Mytilus edulis: one gene and its partner. The protein of the gene in region 2 purifies or fractionates together with the protein of the main gene of each other region. This does not show direct contact. Links are inferred from orthologs where the notes say so. Each region holds a gene or a part of one and is shown on either strand. Other genes may lie near its edges.

The links. The genes of interacting proteins can lie anywhere in the genome.
Region 1: the proteins of pre-mRNA-splicing factor ATP-dependent RNA helicase PRP16-like (region 2) and nudC domain-containing protein 1-like purify together in Homo sapiens (co-immunoprecipitation; 3 studies listed by BioGRID and IntAct, with this or other methods). This does not show direct contact. The link is inferred for Mytilus edulis from reciprocal best matches to the Homo sapiens genes DHX38 and NUDCD1.

The regions. Positions count from the first base shown.
Region 1 is NC_092348.1:48,749,533-48,756,489, reverse strand, and holds the start of nudC domain-containing protein 1-like, read right to left. Parts: upstream 3,138-6,957; 5' UTR 3,060-3,137; coding exon 2,948-3,059; intron 1,403-2,947; coding exon 1,251-1,402; intron 36-1,250; coding exon 1-35.
Region 2 is NC_092348.1:89,210,570-89,217,621, forward strand, and holds the start of pre-mRNA-splicing factor ATP-dependent RNA helicase PRP16-like, read left to right. Parts: upstream 1-3,906; 5' UTR 3,907-4,196; coding exon 4,197-4,525; intron 4,526-7,052. Other genes in the region: leucine-rich repeat-containing protein 69-like, read right to left, coding at 1,115-1,187, 1,637-1,763, 3,482-3,658. UniProt on the Homo sapiens protein: Probable ATP-binding RNA helicase. Involved in pre-mRNA splicing as component of the spliceosome.

The DNA.
Region 1 (6,957 bases), about 40 Mb from region 2:
TGAAGAATGGATTCAGTCTGGTTCAATTGCATGTCCTAAAACAATAAATGAATTTTTTTTTTGAAAGTGTTTATGCAATTGAATTGGAACAATTATCAAATTTTAATTCAGTTGTATATATTACCATTACAATGAAGCTTTTACTATAAACATAATGTTATATTCAATCATGAAGGTTGTTACTTACTGAAATGTTTAAACCCATAGCATTTGTTTGCACCTGTTAGTAGTCAGAACCTGATGTTCAATGACTGTCGTTTGTTGATATGGTTCATATAAAGTGCTTTTTGTTTCTTGTTTTTATATAGATTAGACTGTTGGTTTTCCCACTTGAACGATTTTACGCTACTCATTTTTGGGCCCTTTATAGCTTGCTTCGACCTATAATCATAATGGTTAACTTTTACAAATTGTGACTTGGATGCCTGGATGGAGAGTTGTCTCATTGGCACTCATACCACATCTTATATCTATGTATCAGGGTTAATTTAAATTACCATAAACCTTCCTAGCAAATTAATAACACCTTCATGTACCACATTAATAATAAGTATGAAGAAGATACATGTATAATGAGTTATTCTTTATTGATAGATTGTTTGCTGATTACTTTATGTAACATAACTGCAAGAAGATTATATCACTATATGGTCACATTTACAATTATTCATTTGACAGAATACTGAATAAGTGCATAAACTTTTCAATATTGGCTTGGTTACATTAAAACATTCTTTTTTCCTGATTGATTCTGAGAGGGGCTTCATCAGTTCCCTTCATCATGTTTATGTCCATACTATAAGAGGTTCAAATTTGCATTAAATAGTGAAAGGTCCAGGACCATTTGAAAGGTCCTCCATAAGAAATTCAGTGTTCCTGTATATCAGAGTAAAGAATTGTAGGTCCTTGACTTGTTATTCAAAAATGAAAAGTCCCCTTCTAGAAAAGACAGGTCTCCAACATTCGACCAACACTAATTTGAACCCCTGATTACATATGTATATATTTAAATCGAAAATTATTGTGTGTATCTATCATCATGATTATAATTGTTATTTTTGAAGAATTGACAAAAATGTTAGATAAGTTATTATGATTTCAAGAAAGCACACTTTCTTTATACTTTCATGGTCCCTTTGAGCCAGATCAAAGTCTCACATGTTCTTATAAACTCCTAAACATTACCCTCAGACTTCTAATTAAAATAATTTGTAATAAAAAAGTTAAAACAAATGTAACCATTTACTTACTGCAATGAAGGCTTTGTTGATGCGCCATAGCTGATCTATATAATATACTGTCTGCTGATTCCAAGGATCTAAAGCTAAATGATTGTGTTGTCCAAGGATCTTAGCATGATGGTAGGAATACTGACCGTCTGTAAGGTCCACCTTCTCTATACCTGGAAGAATTGTTACAAATAATCATTACTCTAATTCTTTTATTTATATCACTCAGAATTTAGTTGAAGAATGCAATAAATCTTATTTTACAGAGAACTGGATGAAACAAAAAAAGACAAGTCTTTTTATTCTTACAGTTAATTTTTACTAGCAGATGCCCACGAAATCATGGTACAAATGAACAAGTGTTAAAAATAGTTTTCACAGCAGTATGTTGACTGAGCATGTGGGAAAAAGTTCAGTCAAGAATCAATAACGGTCTTTGAATTTGGATAAAAATTGGAGTGTTCTGTGGAAAAAAGATTGTGTCAAAGAGCATAATTTGGAAAGTACAAAACAATTCATTTATACGTCTTATCACTTTGTATGGTTTCAGAGAAGTTATGGCTCAATGAAAACAGTCTCTTCCTTTAGTAGTATTTTCAGATTGAACTTGTTTATGTATGCTGACGTCAAGCAACAATTCCATTTTCATTATGATGTCAATCTTTCAGTTTCTTAACCCTCTTGGTGCCGGAGTGACACATGTGTCCACACCAACTGTGCTGGAGGGACACATGTGTCCATGTTTTAATTTATGCAAGCTTCTCATCATTGCTGTACCTCTTTCAAAATAAAAAAACCAAAATTAAAAAGTGTAATATGATTCTACAATGGCTCTAAAATGTAACTGTCATTACAGCATGATGTCATATACAGAATGACGTCATTGTTTGGCATGTCACGTCACAAACGTCGAGCGGTCGTATTTTCCGTCAAATATGAAATGAAACCCTGAAAAACAGCTGGCAACAAGAGGGTTAAAAAATAAATTGTCATGTCAAATTTTACAGGAATGCATGTCGTTTCATACTTGATCAATTTGTAACTAAGTTGATTTGTAAATGAGACAAATTGATTACGGCAATATAAATATTCTCTCAATTTTTCAACAAACTTCAACATATTTTGTTCAAAATACTTAAAATTATATGACTTTTGCATGAAGGAAAAAAAAATGCCCATCAAAAACCAAAAAAGATTTTATCTTTCTTTAACACAAAATGCATTTAACTTTTATATATCTAGTGGGTGCCAGGCATTAAAACTTTTCCAACTTCACAGGTAGGTCTGTACTCAGAGTAATTTTTGGCATGTAAATACAGCCATATTTGTCCGTTTGTTATGATGAACCTTAATTAGAAAAAAATAAAAATCAAGGCGAATGGACCCTGGGCGAACAGGTATAAGGGCGAACAGTAGTCAAAATAATTATGACGTCTGTCAAGGCTAGCGCTGATTTATTTTTTTTCTGGGACTGGGATGTTTCAGGGCGAACGAACCCAGATTCGAACTCACCTACCCCCTTTTCTACTGGGTTGGGATTAGTATAGTAGTATACAAATCCTTGGCGGCTTAAAATGGTATTTCTAATTTTGCTGTGGCGCTTTTCAAAGAGGCTACGTGACGTACGTCGTATATAAGCTTGCTCAGCATGAGCAGGGCTACAAAGTACACTTCACCGATCAAAATGTACTATACAAAAAAATCATCAAGCAATTTACCAATTCCAAATTGAAGGCTGTATGTGGGCAGACTGTCTAACGACAGTTTGTATCCGTCAAATGACGAGTCTAAGAGTTCCCGTTTTATTTGCAAATCAAACTTTTCTGCCATGGCTTATCTGGTATTGAATTTCGCCTTTTTTATACCCATAATAGATAGATAACATTTTTGGGAAACCAGTTTGTACCTAAAACCCATTACATGATCCCGACTACTGCATGTTTTTTTTAATTTCTAACTGTTTTAATTTGCTATGCGTCGGTAAAAAATTGTTATAACAATATCACGAAGAAAATGGTAAAAATGAACATAATATTGCAGTAGTGTCAATATCAAGATGTCGATTTATTTGGAAAGACTAGTATCAAGGAATTGTATATTAAATATACAATTCCTTGCTAGTATTCAGTGCAGCCAGAAACAGGAACTCGTCTTAGAAAAAAATCTTAGTATATACCTTTATATAACACATATAGGAATATTTTTTTCTAACACGAGTGCCTGTGCAGATCTCATCGAAATTTCTATACCGTATTAAACAGTGTGGCATTTTTGCTCTAGCCAAATTTTCAATAAATACTCATTGGATTGCACAACTCCTCCAAAAACGGAAACTCTTTGATAACTCCATCGGATATATCCCTGGAGGTTCTACCTCCTTTTGCGAGTGTTGGTTTTTACTTGCCTTTTTTTATACTCAAGACATATTTAAAATTGATTCAGAGTTTCACTGAATTTTACATCTTTTTCCGTACGCATGTAGGCAAAATTGAGTAAAGTAAAGACCTCCTTTGACAGCCGTAGATCCCACTCTTCTGTCTTCATCTTTTTGCGTAAGCAGTCAACGGAAATATTAGGCACAGTATAAGTTCGAGTTCAGAATGAGTTCTTGTTCATCATTATTGATCCTTCGAAGCACAAGGCCTGATTTATGCTGAAATAATAAACGAAAGACTATTAATATGACAGACAGCAACCAACAACAACTGCAGAGGAACAGACACAAATGTAAAATGTTATAACAATACATTCTATTTAGTTATTTTCTGATAATTAAAAAAAAACGTCAATGTTTCATCGAAAGATTTTACCACAATATTTAAAACGCGGCGAATTCGAAATATCAAAAAGTAAAACATGGATCGTGTCTAATTTTACGGGCTCTACACACTACATATAAACAACATCGTTGTAATAATCAGAATATGTGATATCAAGTGACCTACCGAATTAGACTATTTGCCGGATTTCACGGTTATAACATGAGCAACAAGACGGGTGCCACATGTGGAGCAGGATCTGCTTACCCTCCTGGAGCACATTAGATCATTTCCAGTTTTTGGTTGGATTCGTGTTGCTTATTCTTTAGTTTCATATCTTGTGTCATATGTACTATTGTTTGTCTGTTTGTCTTTTTCTTCATTTTTAGCCATGGCGTTGTCGGTTTATTTCCGATTTATGAGTTTGACTGTCCCTCTTTTTGAATAAAGTTTTAACATGTACAGCAAAAAAGAAGGAAAAAGGAACAACGACAGATATAAAAAGATGTGGTATGGATGCCAATGAGACACTTGTCCATCCAATGATTATGTTTTGTATATACATGTATTTTATACTGAATTACGGAATTACGGAAACAACAAATCTTCTTCATTTATTATATTTTTCAAAAAGGAAAAACACATAAATTTCCAATCGCATACTATATGCTTAATTAAACCTGTATTCTTTGCAACACCAGTCCCATGTTGTAAATCGTGTGTTTTGTTAGGTGATTCTGTTTTTCTGAAAGAACGAATTACGAAAACACAATTATACCAAAAATGTAATGTCTGTTTTTGTTGGAATATCCCTTTAATATCTTTCGTCTCTCTTTTCCAAAAATAGAAAAACATGTATTTTGGCTGTACATAAACCATTATTTTTTTCTCCAGTCAACCACATCTACCTACATTAACATCCCATGTTCACTACAAACTATTCCTTCGCTTTTTATGCCCCACCTACGATAGTAGAGGGGCATTATGTTTTCTGGTCTGTGCGTCCGTTCGTCCGTCCGTCCGTCCGTTCGTCCGTCCGTTCGTTCGTTCGTTCGTTCGTTCGTTCGTTCGTTCGTCCGTCCGTTCGTTCGTTCGTCCGTCTGTCCCGCTTCAGGTTAAAGTTTTTGGTCGAGGTAGTTTTTGATGAAGTTGAAGTCCAATCGACTTCAAACTTGGTACACATGTTCCCTATGATATGATCATTCTAATTTTAATGCCAAATTAGAGATTTTACCCCAATTTCACGGTCCACTGAACATAGAAAATGATAGTGCGAGTGGGGCATTCGTGTACTGAGGACACATTCTTGTTTTATTTATTATTTTTCCGTCCTTTCTATTTCTGTTGTATCGTTTGCTGACCAATATTGTTGTTTTTTCTAAACTGTTCGATATGTATGCATGGTAATAAAACATCAGTCACATTTATGAATTTGTGCCTTTTTTTTTTTTACAAAATTATCATATGATATTGTTTTTCATTTTTTGCAGAGTATTCGATTTCTTCTTTTAAAGGTGAATTGGGGGGGGGGGGGGGGGGATAAAGTTTTAATCATGCTTCTTATCCAAAATGTAATAAAAAGTTTGGTGACCAGACTTTTTTCTCGCTACACTACATGAATTTACACGTGAATTTAATACTACTCTCAAAATTTACACATTTAATGAAATATCTAGACCAATTGTTATCTGTCACTTAAAAATCTAAAAGAAAGGAAGACGTCCTCAATCACCAGCCGACCGTAACGGCAAGGGCTGTACAGCCAGTCAACATCTACCTGTATAAATATTTGTGTGATGAGAAATGTTTTTGAGAAACACTTTTTTAAAGAATAATACTCTGGTACAAGAAACCGAAGGTGTCATAACAGCTGAATATATATGTCATTATACTTCAAAAACATTGACACGTAAGGACGCCACCGGGTGCGGGAGTTTCTGGCTACATTGAAGACCCATTGGTGGCCTTCGGCTGTTGTCTGCTCTATGGCCGGGATGTTGTCGCTTTGACACATTCCCCATTTCCTTTCTCAATTTTATTTGCCCCAACCACTTCTTGCCATGTTTGGCCGAGAAGCAGCACATACCAATTTCAAGTCGTTAGTTTCTGTATACTGTCCCCATATTTGACCAGGCCGAGGTTTGAACCCATATTATCCAGCACTTGAGTCGATCACACAGCGAGCGATATGAAAAAAAACTGTTCTTGCTAGTAACCATATATTAACCACCAAGGCGGTCTGAAAAAATCCTGTTCTTGCTTGTAACCATATATACACCACCGATGCGGTCTGACAAAACCCAATTCTGTTCTTGTTAATAACCAAATATATATATATCTAAAAAAGAGTAGATGTGGTATGATTGCCAATGAGACAACTCTCCACAAGAGACCAAAATGACACAGTAAACTATAGTTCACAGTACGGCCCTCAACAATGAGCAAAGCATATACTGTATAGTCTGCTATAAAAGGCCAAAAAATGCATCCACCAAGGCGGTCTGAAAAACAGAATTTTCTTGCTAGTAACGTTTACCATATAAACAACAAAAAACAATCCTGCTCTTGCTAGTAACCATATTATATAAAAAGTCGATGGGAACATCATCAAATTCTTCAAAGAAGAACCAAGTTATCATCCAGTGTCCAGTTGTTTACAAGTGTTGTTAGGGTAACGCTGTTGTTGACAGAATTGTTACGATGAATTTAACAACTCTCTTGGAGATTATATTAGCCTCCTAAACACAAGTTTTAACATAAACTTTAACAATTGAAAAACTTCAAAGTAAAATATAACGAATTTGAAGAAGGAAAATAATGTATTTTAAACATACAATTAACATATATGGTGATAATTCATATTTAAGATGTACCCTATCAAATGACATGAAATTATAGCAATAAAATACCATAAACAAGATTTGAATTGCAGCAGGCCAAGTTTACGAGCTTATTCCATCTACGCCAGT
Region 2 (7,052 bases):
ATGCGTTTCCCTCGGTTTTAGTTTGTTATCCCGATTTTGTTTTTTGTCCATGGATTTATGAGTTTTGAACAGCGGTATACTACTGTTGCCTTTATTTGGTAAACAGGAAGTTGTTGAGTGATGAATCTGAAAACACATCACATGGTATAGCTGACTTAAATAAACCCTGAAACCAAATTTCAGAAACCATGGTATTGTAGTTCCTGATAAAGATGCCACGAAAAATATTCATGGGACATACGGACAGACAGAGGTAAAACAGTATACCCTGACTTTTTCAAAGTGGGGTACAATAATTAAAGCAGGGGTTGATAAATATATAGTATAGAGTAGACAAGATGTCTTGAAAATGAAGCTGATTCTTCTCTCATCAAAATTTGTCATCTTAAACATTTTCTTACCTTAAAATTTCTTTGACAATTCAATTTTGTCTAACTATTTTGGCAAAAATTCAATTCATATCTTTTCAAATGGACTAGTACAGGCCGTTTAACTTACACGATTCATTGCTTCAGAGCTAATTGTATAAAATTTCGAAGTACAAGTGGAAATAAGAGCTTTATTGTTAATTTTGCAGTAAAATAAGGGGAGGTAATGCAAAACTTCTCAGTTTTTAAGAAAGTTTGATTTGGTCAGGTGCATTTTGGATTTTTGATAATGGCAATGAAACTGTTCATCAAAAGTGTCCATTTAAATAAAACCAAAACAATTAAATTGTAAGGGAATCATGACGGACATATTATTGTATTAAAAGTCACACGTTTAACCAACTGAATTAACATGCAAGCCCATAGTACAATCTTATAACTTTTTGGTCTTTTCTTTTGTATGAAGCTTAACAAAACTGAAATTTGAATTAATGGCATCCCAATAAATGTTAGTTCAAGACAAGATTTTTATCTACAAATAAGTCAACATGGTACATTGAAATCTCTGTGAATATTAACATTATTGTAATACCATATGTTTTAAACCTTCTAAGTGCAATAAGTGAATGTCAGAAACATTCCCCCTTCCCCACCAATTTAACTATTAAATTTTATTTATGCAAAAATGGAATTTTAGTGTGTACACTCTTTTAACTATTAACAATAGATTAATCTTTTTTACCTACCTGCATATTTCTGGTGGAAAAGTCTTGAGTTGATTATTATTTATATTCAAGAATGTCAAGTTTCTCAGATGTGCTGAAAATAAACTAACAATCAATATCAAAAATATATACATTAACTGAATAAATTATACACAACATGTACCATAAGCTACTTCACGTAATATACACATATATATGTAAAAATGCTAACATGAGTAACAAAGTATCGAAAGTTAATAGAAGAAATTTATTGCATAATTTTCGAAACTGTTCAGACAAATTCTGTACAATCTAATGCAGGTTTAACACATTAAAAAAACATTACAATATAATAAGTTAAACAATCATGTAAACACTAGAACTAACTCTTTTGCTGCAATATTCTGTAAAAATGCATTTGCAACAATCTTACCCTTATTTACTAAACATGTACAGTGGCACTCTTCAACAACAGTATTGTTAAGACTTACATTACATATCAATTATATCATATAAAACTTGATAATCAGTAAATAACACTTTAAAAAGATGAACAATACATACTTAGGACTTTGGGGTTCAGATTCTTTAGGTTATTGTTAAACAGATGTAATTTCTCCAACATAGTGAGATACTCCAAAACTTCTGGTAAGTCTTCAAGTTCATTGTTTCCACAGTTCAGTATCTGTAACTATAAAACAAAAAGATATTTTGTTATTACATGTGGCCTTATTAAAATAAGAAAGAACAGGTCTTGTCACAATACATATGCTATATGATGTTACAGATTGGTTAATGTCTACTGAACTTTGGTCAGCCTGTATAGCTTATTCATTAAAAACAGCTCAAGATGTGTCTTTGTAAAACCTCGGTTCCCTATCATATTATAATATTCTAATTAAGGAAAGGGAATTATCTGATGCATTGTATTGGTACATAGATGGTACATTTGTATTACAAATTAGTATCTGATACCTAAAACATAATACAAAAGATAAACTGTAAGGCCATAACATACAAATGTACCTGTTTCAGGGGAGATAAATAGCATCTTAATTTTCCACTTTTACATTTTGAGTGTTACCTATTTTTTTGACTTATAGAATAAATTTTTTTTTACTTAGTCATAAAAATTGAATTTAATCAGATTCAAATTAAAGGTCCAAGTTGTCATTTTCATAAAATCTTGTCAAAAAAGGAGTAAATACTCTCCCGTTATTCTTTGAATTACTGGGAGTAAACTAGTCTGCCATTCCATCTTAATCTCAGCACAGAAAGGAACAGGTTGGGGTCATTGTCACATTGACAATAACTCCAACCCCGTTTATTAATTTGATGAATCTTACAAACATATTACAAATACTACAATTCACCATGAAATTGACCAATTATATTAATAGGAACTTGACCTCAAATGTTAATACTGCGATGCCACACAATAAATAAGTAGCTGTTAATTAACACTATGGTGGCTGAACAGATAAATGCTGCACGAGTGCACATGTGTTATCATATTCTGAATCCGGGTCCGTTCGCGCCCATTCACGTTCGCACCCACTCATGTTCGCCCCCTTTCACTTTCGCACCCTACATGTTTCCACCCAAAAACCGTTCGCACCCTACATGTTCACGCCCAATTTTAATTGGTTTTGTGTTTAATAACTTTGTAATCAAGTTTTGGCAAGTATTATTCTTATAAGTATAATTGTTTTCATTGTCTCAGAATAAAGTGAGACAGCATTTTTCTTTTGTGTTGAAATGTTTTGGATAGTGTATTGTTAAAAAAAAAATATTCCTTTCTATATAAAGTGGGATTCTGTCAACGTTTTATTTTGTGTTGAATAACTCTTAATCATGTTTTGGTTTATGTATTGCTATAACTTTATTCAATGACTTGTTTCAAAATGAAGTGAGATTCTGACTACGTTTTTATTTTTTGTGTGTTGAATAAATTTTATCATGTTTTGGTTATAATAGTGTATTGCTATATTTTATTGTTTCATTGTTTCAGATCAAAGGGACCAAGCTGTTAAAAACAATTATCTTTTGTGTTTTTCATTTAAAATCTTCAAATGTTTACTCATACCAAGCTATAAATACATTCAGTATTTACACGAAAGCAATTAAAAACAACAATCATGATTTTCCAATTATTCAACTGGAATTTGAATTAAAATTGGGCGCGAACGTGTAGAGTGCGAACGTGTAGGGTGCGAAAGTATATTGGGCGCGAACGGACCTGATACCTCATATTCTCGACAAACTGAGCCGGTATTTTTCATTTACATTAATACTCAGTATGGATATGCTAATTTCTTTTCTGAGTTGTTACACCTGAATAAGAAACATTAACTCTGATAACAAATTTGTTTACAGAATTTAAAATTATATTTTATGGGAAATATCAACCTGAAACAAATGGCTAAGTTCTATAGGTAAATCCTTCAATTTATTCCCTCTCAACTGCAAGTGTACAACACAGTCTAATTTTCCAATGGCCCTTGGAACCTTGTCAAGTTTCTTATTACACAAATTCAACGTTTTTGGTTTCCCTTTCAATGCACGGACTAGCAAGGTGTCCGCCATATTGACGCTTTCTTGTTGCTAACTTTTAAGGTGTGTTCGAAAAACATCTATTTGTAAATATAAAATAAATGTTTCTTTATTCCATTTTTAAGATATTGAAAGACTATGTAGGTATATGCTTTAAAATATTCTGATATGAATACTCTCAATAATTCTACGATAAAGGAAAAAAATAATAAACATTGAATATTTATGATATTTACAGAAATTTTTTCGATCGCACCTTATCATTTTCGTGGTTTCTTAAATTGGAGAGTGTTTCCGGTTAAAGTTTCAAAACGTTTTTTGCATGATTTACTATTTATGTTTCAAAGTTGGTGTTGTTAGATAAAACCTGCTAAATATGCCTATGAGATATATTTCCAATTAATACTTCCCCAGTGTAATAAGGATAAACACGTGTCAAGTCATAAAACATCTAAAATATTTAGCAAAACCACATCATGGGACATGATCTGATGATGTTTGATTTGTACAAGTAATTGTAAATCATGCCTCTTACTTCTACAGTGCAGGTGTAAAAAAACTTAATTTCACAATGACAAGTTTCGTAGATCCAGATGACGATCCTGAATTACACAGATTGGAGGGTTCATTGGGCAAAGAAAAGGGTGGACTTGTTATAATGAAAAAGAAATCAGAACATGGAGACTTTCAATTCAAGAAACCATCACTTCCCAAGGTATCGCTATTGGGACTTGATAAATTGGCAGCAGAAAAAAGGAAATTAGATATCAAAAGTGAAAATACAACAAAAAGATCAAAGGTGACATCATATACAGACAGCAAAGATGAAAGTGATAGTAGTGACTCAAGTAGTGATGAAGAAGATAATAAATTGTCAAAGCATAAAAGTCGTAAAGAAAGGTGGGTTTAATTTACACACATCAAAATCGAATAAGATAATAGAGGATGATAGTATAAGGCAGGGTAATCTCATAAAGGAGACAGGGTCACTCAGTCACCATCAGCTAATCCTTTAGCAAGATTTCTTTACGACTTTTATATTTATCCTGTATCATCATATTCATGCATATAAACATTGGATTGTAAACAAAGAAATGCAATCTTCAGGCAGTGTTTAAGTGTAGTTAAATTTAAGATAATAAATTGTCAAAGCATAAAAGTTGTAAAGAAAGGTGGGTTTAATTTACACACATTAAAATCGGATAAGATAATAGAGGATGATAGTATAAGGCAGGGTAATCTCATAAAGGAGACAGGGTCACTCAGTCACCATCAGCTAATCCTTTAGCAAGATTTCTTTACAACTTTTATATTTATCCTGTATCATCATATTTAAAACATGCTTATATATCATGTATATGCATAAAACAAGTTATCTATTCTTTATTATTTTGATAGTTTGAAATTGTATTTTTTAAAGGCAGGGAAATGCACACTTTTCTGATAGTTTTCAAAGTTTTCCTTTAGTTATTCTGGTTGTGTATATTAACCCTAAATTCTTTGCCCAAATATTGATAACCAAGACGTGAAATAAAGTCTGAAGAATTTTTGAATTTGTAAGAATAAAACTATCTATATAGCTAGCACTCACATATTTAAAAAAATACAAATTGTCATGATTGTTATTTATAGTTCAGGTCTTGACAATAACGCTTGCCCTATTGTCTGTTACCAGAGTAAAAAAAGGTCGGTCAAGTTAAAGCTATATCAACCTTGTCGACAAGTAAAATTATTTTGCAGAAAAAATCAATTTAATCAAACTTTGATGAACAAAGTAGTTGTAAACAAAAAACAAAAAAAAAAGAAGATAAAAACAAGTACATGTATTAATTTGACATGTTTACTTGCAATCGACAATAAAAACTGGTTCTTTGTCAGGTACTATTTGACAGGTAAAAGGCATACTATTCTGATCCAATGGACCAAATCAGTATGCGCTTTGTAGATGAGGTAACTTTACAAGACAGTTCGTCACCAGCTTGGAATTAAGACATTCAGCCCCAATTTTAATAGACAGTTTGGCACTGTATGAGACATGATTAATAGACAGTTCGGGACCAAGACCTTGTTTCCCTACAATTTTCTGTTGCATTATAATAATTACCATACCAGTAATTTTTTTAACAAAATTATTTTAAAAGTAGAAATGAATTTATTGACCATAAGATTTACAAAATCATATTTGACCATATGTAGAAAAAACAATACTTGGTGACCTACAGTTGTTAATTTCTGTGTCATTTGGTCTCTTGCAGAGAGTTGTCTGATTAGCAATCATACCTTATCTTTTTTTTTAGCTAACCTGGCGTTCGTCAACCGTAGTCGACGTCGTCCGTCGTCGTTAACTTTTACAAAAATCTTCTCCTCTGAAACTACTGGGCAAATTTAACCAAACTTGGCCACAATCATCATTGGGGTATCTAGTTTAAAAATTGTGTCCCGTGACCCGGCCAACCAACCAAGATGGCCCCCATGTCTAAAAATAGAACATAGGGGTAAAATGTAGATTTTGGCTTATAACTCTGAAACCAAAGCATTTAGAGCAAATCTGACATGGGGGTTAAATTGTTTATCAAGTGAAGATCTATCTGCTCTGAAATTTTCAGATGAATCAGACAACCGGTTGTTGGGTTGCTGCCCCCCAATTGGTAATTTTCAAAGAAATTTTGCCGTTTTTGGTTATTATCTTGAATACTATTATAGATAGAGATAAACTGTAAACAGCATTAATGTTCAGCAAAGTACGATCTACAAATAAGTCAACATGACCAAAATGGTCAGTTGACCCCTTAAGGAGTTATTGCCCTTTATAGTCATTTTTTTACCAATTTTTCATAAATTTTTGTATCTTTTACAAAAATCTTCTCCTCTGAAACTACAGGGCCAAATTTAACCAAACTTGGCCACAATCATCATTGGGGTATTTAGTTTAAAAAATGTGTGCGGTGACCTAGCCAACCAACCAAGATGGCCACCATGGCTAAAAATAGAACATAGGGGTAAAATGTAGATTTTGGCTTATAACTCTGAAACAAAAGCATTTAGAGCAAATCTGACAGGGTTAAATTGTTTATTAAGTCAATATCTATCTGCCCTGAAATTCTCAGATGAATCAGACAACCGGTTGTTGGGTTGCTGCCCCCCAATTGGTAATTTTCAAAGAAATTTTGCCGTTTTTGGTTATTATCTTGAATACTATTATAGATAGAGATAAACTGTAAACAGCATTAATGTTCAGCAAAGTACGATCTACAAATAAGTCAAACATGACCAAAATGGTCAGTTGACCCCTTAAGGAGTTATTGCCCTTTATAGTCATTTTTTTACCAATTTTTCATAAATTTTTGTATCTTTTACAAAAATCTTCTCCTCTGAAACTACAGGGCCAAATTTAACCAAACTTGGCCACAATCATCATTGGGGTATT